2 linked regions of the Bombyx mori genome follow. Each later gene encodes a partner of the first gene's protein in a complex. Links are inferred from orthologs where the notes say so. Each region holds a gene or a part of one and is shown on either strand. Other genes may lie near its edges.

Region 1 (3,838 bases):
CATGATGCTGCTCGACATCAACGACGAGGACGGGGAGCACATCGACGAGCTGCTCAACTGCGACATGTTCAACAACATGTGGGCGCCCGGCAGCCCGCGCCGCGCCGACGACGACGCCGCCAGCCCCACGCCGCACCTCGCGCAGCAGCGCCTGCGGGACGACGGCCGCGAGGAGCGCGTGGGCACCGTGCTGCAGCAGCCGCTCGCGCTCGGCTACACCGTGTCCACGGCGCCGCTGGCCGGCATGCCCGCCTGGTGGTGGGCGAGCTGCGCGCACCTGCGGGACGCCTGCCCCGCCTTCCTCAAGACCGCGCTGCACCTGCACTCGGTGCACGGCGCCGACGACTACGCGGCCTTCACCCAGCGCCGCGACCAGCCCGCCCACCCGCTGGACTCGCAGACCACCACGGACGTGCTGCGGTACGTGCTGGAGGGCTACAACGCGCTGTCGTGGCTGGCGCTGGACACGAGCACGCACGACCGCCTGTCCTGTCTGCCGCTGCACGTGCAGGTGCTCATGCAGCTGTACCACGCGGCGGCCGCGCTGGGCTGAGCGACCCCCGCGCTCTTGTTCATGGTTACCATTAGGGCCTTCGGTCGTTGTTGGGCCGTGTTGTATTCAATTAGTTTGATGATAGTGAAAATTAGGTCGTTACGTGAGATTGAATGTTTCGGTGTGTTGTCTTAAAAATATATATATTTTTTCAATGTGAACACTTAATGTAAAGTATCTACTTTACATTAAGTGTTCACTTAATAAAAATAAAAGTTAAAATAATCAGAAAATAGCGTCCTGAAAATTTGTGATGAACTTCATTGTACTGACTCACCCTGCACTATGAATTAATTTAATCAATTTTTTCACAATACTCACGATAACAGATGATTGACCGTCCTAACGGTTAAATTATGTGAAGTTCCGATCGAGCAGTATTAAAATAATTATCAATTATCGGGACCCAATATCCTGTTTAAGCATTTTCTGGTCATAGAATTATCACAAATTTTGGAGGATGCATACATAGATTATTAAAAAGAAATTGACAACTACAATTACCCCGATTGAAAGTTCAATCGATCAACATTTTCAAAACTATCGAACATCAAAGATATACATTTTACATTAATGATGAAAATCCATGTTTTTGATGCAGAGGTTACATATACTTTGGTTGAACGGGAACGACGTTTACTTTATTTTGTGATATTTTTCCTACATGAATTTAATAAATGGATTTTAATGTATAATGAGTAGTAAAGCTATACAAGTTTTTGGAAAAAATATTTCATTTCGATTTATTATTATGAAAATTGAAACCATCGTCGTAATGTTAGGGAAAATTAATCGATGAAATATTTAACTTGTTAATTATCTAACTGTATGTATTATATTATATATAAGAAGAAGTATTAAAACAGTTTTATAATGAATTTTGTACCAAGGAAATATTACAGAAGGCCAGTTATTTATAATCATGATTAAGACATTGAAATGAAAATCGTCTGGTTTCGAATAATGCACCAACTACGCGAATGAAACGAGCCGTGTGCTCACTAACGAATGAAATGAATTCTAAATATTTGGATCACTTTAGTGTCACTTTGACTCCGCTGAAGTCGGCAACAAACCATAACGCCTTCACAATGTTTGTACGTTATCGAAGTGAATTTATTTCTAATTGAAAATAATCGACAACGCAGTTTTAAATGTACGATTGGATTTCATAATATTATTATTATGGTATTTGACAAATTCCTACCTCACAAAGATGTAGGTCATTGATTGATCAGATTGAATTTGTATTGTCTAAAGTCTAAATTCGTATCCAAAGTGATTAATACTCGGAAGATGTTTTCAAGGCAAAAATCTTAAAACGGAACATGTGTTCGAGTGATTCAACAATTCGACTAGTTTTATAAGAACCGGAGGAAACATTGCCAACTGTTATAGATACGAAAATTATTATTTTTTAATTACTCAATTCTTCCTTTTTCTTTTATTAATAAAATAACGTATTTTGGCGTATTCATAAAGAAAAAAAAGTACGTGACGAGCGAGATTGCTTGTAGCGCTCGATTCATTAGGATTTGTCAAAACCCAACTTCCATTGCAGTCTTGCATTATTCTCACACGACTTCCCGCTCACTTGTTCCACAATACGAACCTCATTTTACGTAGTTTCATTTGCAAGTATATTTTATTTGATTGGCGGCCGTTAAATGTTTGTCGAGGTTTTGATTTTTACATTATTCGTTGAATGAATATCGATTGCGTACGGATTCGCAGTCTGGCGCGGCCGATGAGAATCCTTAAATAAATGCAACACCAAATAAGTATTTGTGAAGGCCTTTTTTTCTCTTTGTTATCAAATATGTGAAATTTTATAGCAATAATATTAGGTGATAGATAGATACAGTTTATCAGTTATCCAAACGTGAAATAGTTTATAATAAAAGAATATAATTTTTGTCTATATAGGCTTCGTCGACTATGTGATGATCGAGCGACGCGTAAAAACTTTGGCCTTAACTTAAAAAAAAAAAATTCTCAAATGTGAACGTCACAATTTATATGGAGGTGTTGTATTCGTTGTTGTGCTGTATGTAAATGTGTATAATGTAATATATTTCGTTATTATATTTAAACCGGTATGCATTACCAAAGGAGTTAGATACTTGTAGTCTTATAGATATTTTTACGAGCGTTTCATAAGCGAACGTCCACACGTCTTGCGAATTCTCATCTACACCTATTTATTTATTGTAAACTTGACACGTTTTTTTTTTTAAATCATTTTGTACGATTTTTTTACGGTTAAATGTGTTTACATTTTTGGAAACTATTTGTTTAGCTAAATTGAATTTCGTTTGTTTAAAAATCATGAATCCGTATACTATTGCACTCTTTTTATACAAGGGAACAAAGCTCAACGTGTGCTTCACGCATTAACGTCCGCATTGCACACATCCAACTAAAGTAATCAATTCAAATTACATAAGAGCAATGCGGTGAACATATTCTAAACGATTGATAGTTATATAAATTTGTCTTATGATATATAAAAAAATAAAATCTGCCGGTCAATAACTAATTAGTAACACCAATAGTTTATGATTAGATAAATTAATAATAATAATAAAAATAGTTATAAAAGAGCCCCCTAGTTCACGTTTGATTGTAGCATTTGTATTTTTAAAAAAATAGTTGTTCTCGTTTTTATATGAACGGAGCCCAAACTAAACGGCGTGACGTTGTTGTGTTGTCGAATCTCCGACTATTTGTAGTTATATGAAATTTTATATTTTAATATTATATTATTAAAATGTAAGCTTAGGGAGACGTGCTGTGAACATTCTCTGTACAGAAACATTGGGAGGCGTGAAGAAAGCCTTTGCGTGTCACTCTTTAATTCATCTTCAATTCTATACACAATATGTGGACAGCAGATTGGATCGCATGAACAAAACGATGTTGTAAATTATTTTTGTTGCTTAGTACCTAATGTTTACTTGTTTGAGTGGTAGACGCGATCGGTCGACCATAGACAATTTGTACATGTGTTGTGCGAGGAGCGATACATAAATTATTTAAATGTAGAGGCGGCTCGTCCGCGACTTACTGAATTATGCCTAGTTGAATAATGAAATGTTTTAAAATGTGTTACGGCATTTGAAAATATTTAATGATGTTGTATATAGTTTATATTTTTGTTTTTTTTTTTGTGATCGATATTTTGTACAGAATCGGTTTAAATAATCGAATAACCGTTAATAACGTGCCCGCATTGCCGACGTAAAATTTGAGCACGTTTTAAAGAAACCACTCGTAATACTTTGT
Region 2 (4,446 bases), on another chromosome or scaffold:
TGTTCCCTTGGTCCTCCATTGTGACTTCTAAAGTGTAACAACTCACACTGGACTGGACATTAAATAATATAAAATGAAATTATTTACCTTGATAAATATGAACACGTTTATTTAATAACAAAGACTAGTAAACAAATTTGTTTAAGCATAAAGATGAAATCCATAAACCTGCTGACCATTGTCCGACTATTGCGAAGTGAATTTATTTTGACACCACACCACAGATAAATTTAGACATATTGACACTGGCAACTGTCAATTAACAGTATTGTAGTAGTAGTAGTAGTTATATTTTTCCAACTATGAAGGCAAAAGTATCATACCATACACCTTAATCGGTTATAATTTTTTTATGAAAAATGATAATATGAAGTGAAATGAAATGAAGATGATTAATTTGTAACATTAATCAATTGGCACGAAATTAAATGAAATAAGATGAGATGATATGGGATCCACTGAAAAAATCTCAGTAAATGACCACCATTTTTCTGAGATTATATTATTTCATGCTATATCATCTCATTTCATTTCATCCCGGTTGATTAATGTTACAAATCAATCGTCTTCATTTCATTTCATTTCACTCCATATTATCATTTTTCATAAAAATAAGAATATAAATTAAAATAAGACATGACTTAAAGGTCTTAGTTACCCGGACATAAATTACCATAAATAATTTGGCGGGAACGCGAGGAGTGAAGTTGTGTGATTTGTTTTTTTTGTCTATTTAGTGTTTCTTCAGGTTTAAATGTGTATTAACAGTGGCTTATTAATTGTTTAATATCTGTGAAAGCGCACAAATGTGGGAAAATGAAACAAAGCCGCTGAACGTAACTTCTCGGGATCCTCCAAAAAGTCCACTTCAAAAGTCTTAGTGAATGACCACCAGTTTACTGAGATTTGAAATATAATCCCATATCATTTCATCTCGTTTCATTTCACTTCGTTTTCATTGTATTTCATTTCGTTTTCATCTCATTTCATTTCTATAATTTTTCATATTAAACAAAAGTTTTCATTAAATTAAAATAAGACTTGACTTATAAGTCTTAGTTACCAGGTCGTAAAATCCCTTAAAAATATGCATATGGCTACTTTAATGATCACAGATGAAACTTAAACTTTTTGGCGGGAACGCGAGGAGTGAAGTTGTGTGATTTGTTTTATTTTGTCTATTTAGTGTTTCTTCAAGTTTAAATGTGTAATAACGGTGGTTTATTAACTGTTTAATATCTGTGAAAGTGCACAAATGTGGGAAAATGAAACAAAGCCGCTGGACGCAACTTCTCGGGATCCTCCAAAAAGTTCACTGAAAAAATCTTAGTAAATGACCACCATTTTACTAAGATTATATTCATCCTATATCATCTCATTTCATTTAATTTCATCCCAGTTGATTAATCATTTTCATTTCATTTCCCTCCATATTATCATTTTTCATAAAAATAAGAATATAAATTAAAATAAGACATGACTTAAAGGTCTTAGTTACCAGGTCATAAAATCACTTAAAAAAAAGCAGATGAAACCATAGATTATACACTTAATTTATTTGAGAATGAAACTTAATTTAATTATTTAAGCTAGTTTTAGTGTTTTAATTTAAAGATTTAGGCTAGTATAGATATAATTTGCACTCATGAACTAGATATAACGGCTTTTTCACTAATTCACGGAGAATAATGTTATAACGTAGTGATTACTTGCTCAGTGAATAACGTCTTGTATATAACTTGTGAGGGAAGGTATTCAAAATGATTTAAAGTGTAATAAAATATAAATCCTAATTAGTCAGGGATCCAAACTGCATTTCCCGACCGTAACAATGGGAGACAACTTTCAAAATAAGACCATGGCGGCTGTGATGATGGACTACGATTTCAAAATCAAGACTCAAAATGAACGTTCCAAAGTGGAAGACTTGTTCGACTATGAGGGCTGTAAAGTAGGTAGAGGTACATATGGCCATGTATATAAAGCCAGAAGGAAGGATGGCTCCGATACCAAAGATTATGCTTTGAAACAAATTGAAGGAACTGGACTTTCTATGTCAGCATGTAGGGAAATTGCTGTAAGTATAAATACAACATAATTATTTCATTTAAGTAATTTGTTTTTAATTTTAAATAAAAATTTTAAATTTTAAATAATTTATATCTGTATAAATGTGAATTTATTACCATAATAATATGTTCTATGGGGAGTGCTATGAGGAACTGTTTGAAATGATTCCATCATCTCGTTTTTACCATCGCACCGCCGACCACCGAAATAGAGTTTGTCCACACTACCTTGAGCCACTCAGTTCATCCACAGTGTGTTTCCATACATATTTTTGCCATGTACCATACGGCTTTGAAATGAGCTCCCCTTCATGGTGTTTCCGAAGCGCTATGACATGCCCTTCTTCAAACGAGGGCTGTGGAGAGTACTTAACAGTAGGCAGGGGCTTGGCTAAGCCCCTGGCTGAAGTCCATGGATGACGGTAACCACTCACCATCACCATGTAAAAAATTTGCATATTTTGATTCTTGTTTCTATTATTATTTCAAATAATATGTTCATGGGATATTACACCTATTTTGATTGTGTTGTGTTGTATAATTATTGTGTACTGTAAACAAACATTGCATTATCAGCTGTTTTTCTACTTCATATTCGGTCTACAATATAGTAGTGTGGTTTAGATCATAATAAAAAAGTTCGTGTAACAATTTATTTTCTAGCTATTAAGAGAGTTGAAACATCCTAATGTCATAAATCTTATTAGAGTGTTTCTTTCACATACTGACCGAAAAGTCTGGCTGCTATTTGACTATGCAGAACATGATTTGTGGCATATAATCAAATTTCATAGAGCAGCTAAAGCTAATAAAAAATCAGTTATGGTGCCAAAAGGAATGGTGAAGAGCCTCCTCTATCAGATATTGGATGGGATACATTATTTACATTCAAACTGGGTTTTGCATCGAGATCTGGTGAGTGTGATGTATATAGTAATATTTATAATGATGAATCGTTCACATACTATGAGTTCATGTTGTATTGAAATTGTAATTTATACTAAATTAGATAACATAATATATAAAAGTATAATAAATATTATATTAAATAAATTACTATAATTGATAGAAATTCTACTGTTGGCCTGGAAGAGATTAGAAAGACTAGGACGGCAGTCTTACTAATCTCTTTTTGTGTTGAATGATGTGCATTTGTTGTTTTTTTATTTATTTATTACTAGCTGACCCGGCAGACTTTGTAGTGCCTCAATCGATAAATAAAAGACCCAAACTTTTGCATAAAATAAACTTAAAACAAACAGAAGGAATCCGTCCGACGGGGGACATATCAAAGGAAAAACAAAATTGTTATTTTTATTTAATTCCGAACATTTTCATATTTATCTACCTTTTAAACCTCTGGACTTCCACAAATAATTCAAGACCAAAATTAAGCCGTTCTCGAGTTTTAGCGAGACTAATGAACAGCAATTATTTTTATATATATAGATTATTTTGGTGTACCATAAATCAAACTTAATGAATCGATAAATATTATTTTTGTTCAATATCAATATATGTTATTTACAATTAATACTCCAGAAACCAGCCAACATATTAGTAATGGGTGAAGGACCGGAGCGTGGCCGAGTTAAAATAGCTGACATGGGATTTGCAAGATTATTCAATGCACCTTTGAAACCACTTGCTGACTTAGATCCAGTAGTAGTCACATTTTGGTACAGAGCTCCTGAACTGTTGCTTGGTGCCAGACATTACACTAAGGCCATAGGTATATATTTTATTACTCTTACAATAATTCACCTACAGCCACATAAAATTAAGTACTTACCTTTTACTTACTTAAGTAATTTTTACTTAATTGACGTCTACACTTGGCAGGTAAAACACCTTCTCTTCAGCATGGAATTAACAACTTGGTAGCACTTTATTAAATTCATCATTATTTAAATAAATCCCAAAAAGCTTAGAAAATAAAAACTATTATACTATTTTCATTTTTGGATTGTTACTTAACATAGCTAAAATTCATCTGAAATTTCAGTAAACCCGGTCGGTAATTGTGCATTCTGTGAACTACATACCATATCAGTAGTTCATTGTAAACATAAAATATAATGTAATCGAAGAAGAATATAGAAAGATTCCCACCCCATGACACTTGTTCAAAAATATCAGGATATGGGACTGCAGTAGGCCAAGGCGGCACTCAATTATTTTGAGCTCATGAAGTATAGACTCATTGGTGCAAAATATTATATGTGTATTGTAATGTTAAAATGTTGTTCTTTCACGTCAATACAAACCAATGGATTGACATGATTTTTTTTAAAGTGAAAGTATTCATACTGATACTTTTCCTGGACGAAATGTGTAGAGCCACGGTTTAAAACCAAGTCAAAAGAGATGTAAAAAA

The links.
Region 2: mediator of RNA polymerase II transcription subunit 13 (region 1) and cdk8 share a complex: the UniProt entries of both Drosophila melanogaster proteins name them as parts of the cdk8 module of the Mediator complex. The link is inferred for Bombyx mori from reciprocal best matches to the Drosophila melanogaster genes skd and Cdk8.

What each region holds. Positions count from the first base shown.
Region 1 is NC_085116.1:2,028,896-2,032,733, forward strand, and holds part of mediator of RNA polymerase II transcription subunit 13, read left to right. Parts: coding exon 1-553; 3' UTR 554-3,838. UniProt on the Drosophila melanogaster protein: Component of the Mediator complex, a coactivator involved in the regulated transcription of nearly all RNA polymerase II-dependent genes.
Region 2 is NC_085129.1:10,512,733-10,517,178, forward strand, and holds the start of cdk8 (cyclin dependent kinase 8), read left to right. Parts: upstream 1-1,593; 5' UTR 1,594-1,831; coding exon 1,832-2,077; intron 2,078-2,732; coding exon 2,733-2,984; intron 2,985-3,611; coding exon 3,612-3,801; intron 3,802-4,446. Other genes in the region: uncharacterized protein LOC101736423, read right to left, coding at 1-19. UniProt on the Drosophila melanogaster protein: Component of the Mediator complex, a coactivator involved in regulated gene transcription of nearly all RNA polymerase II-dependent genes.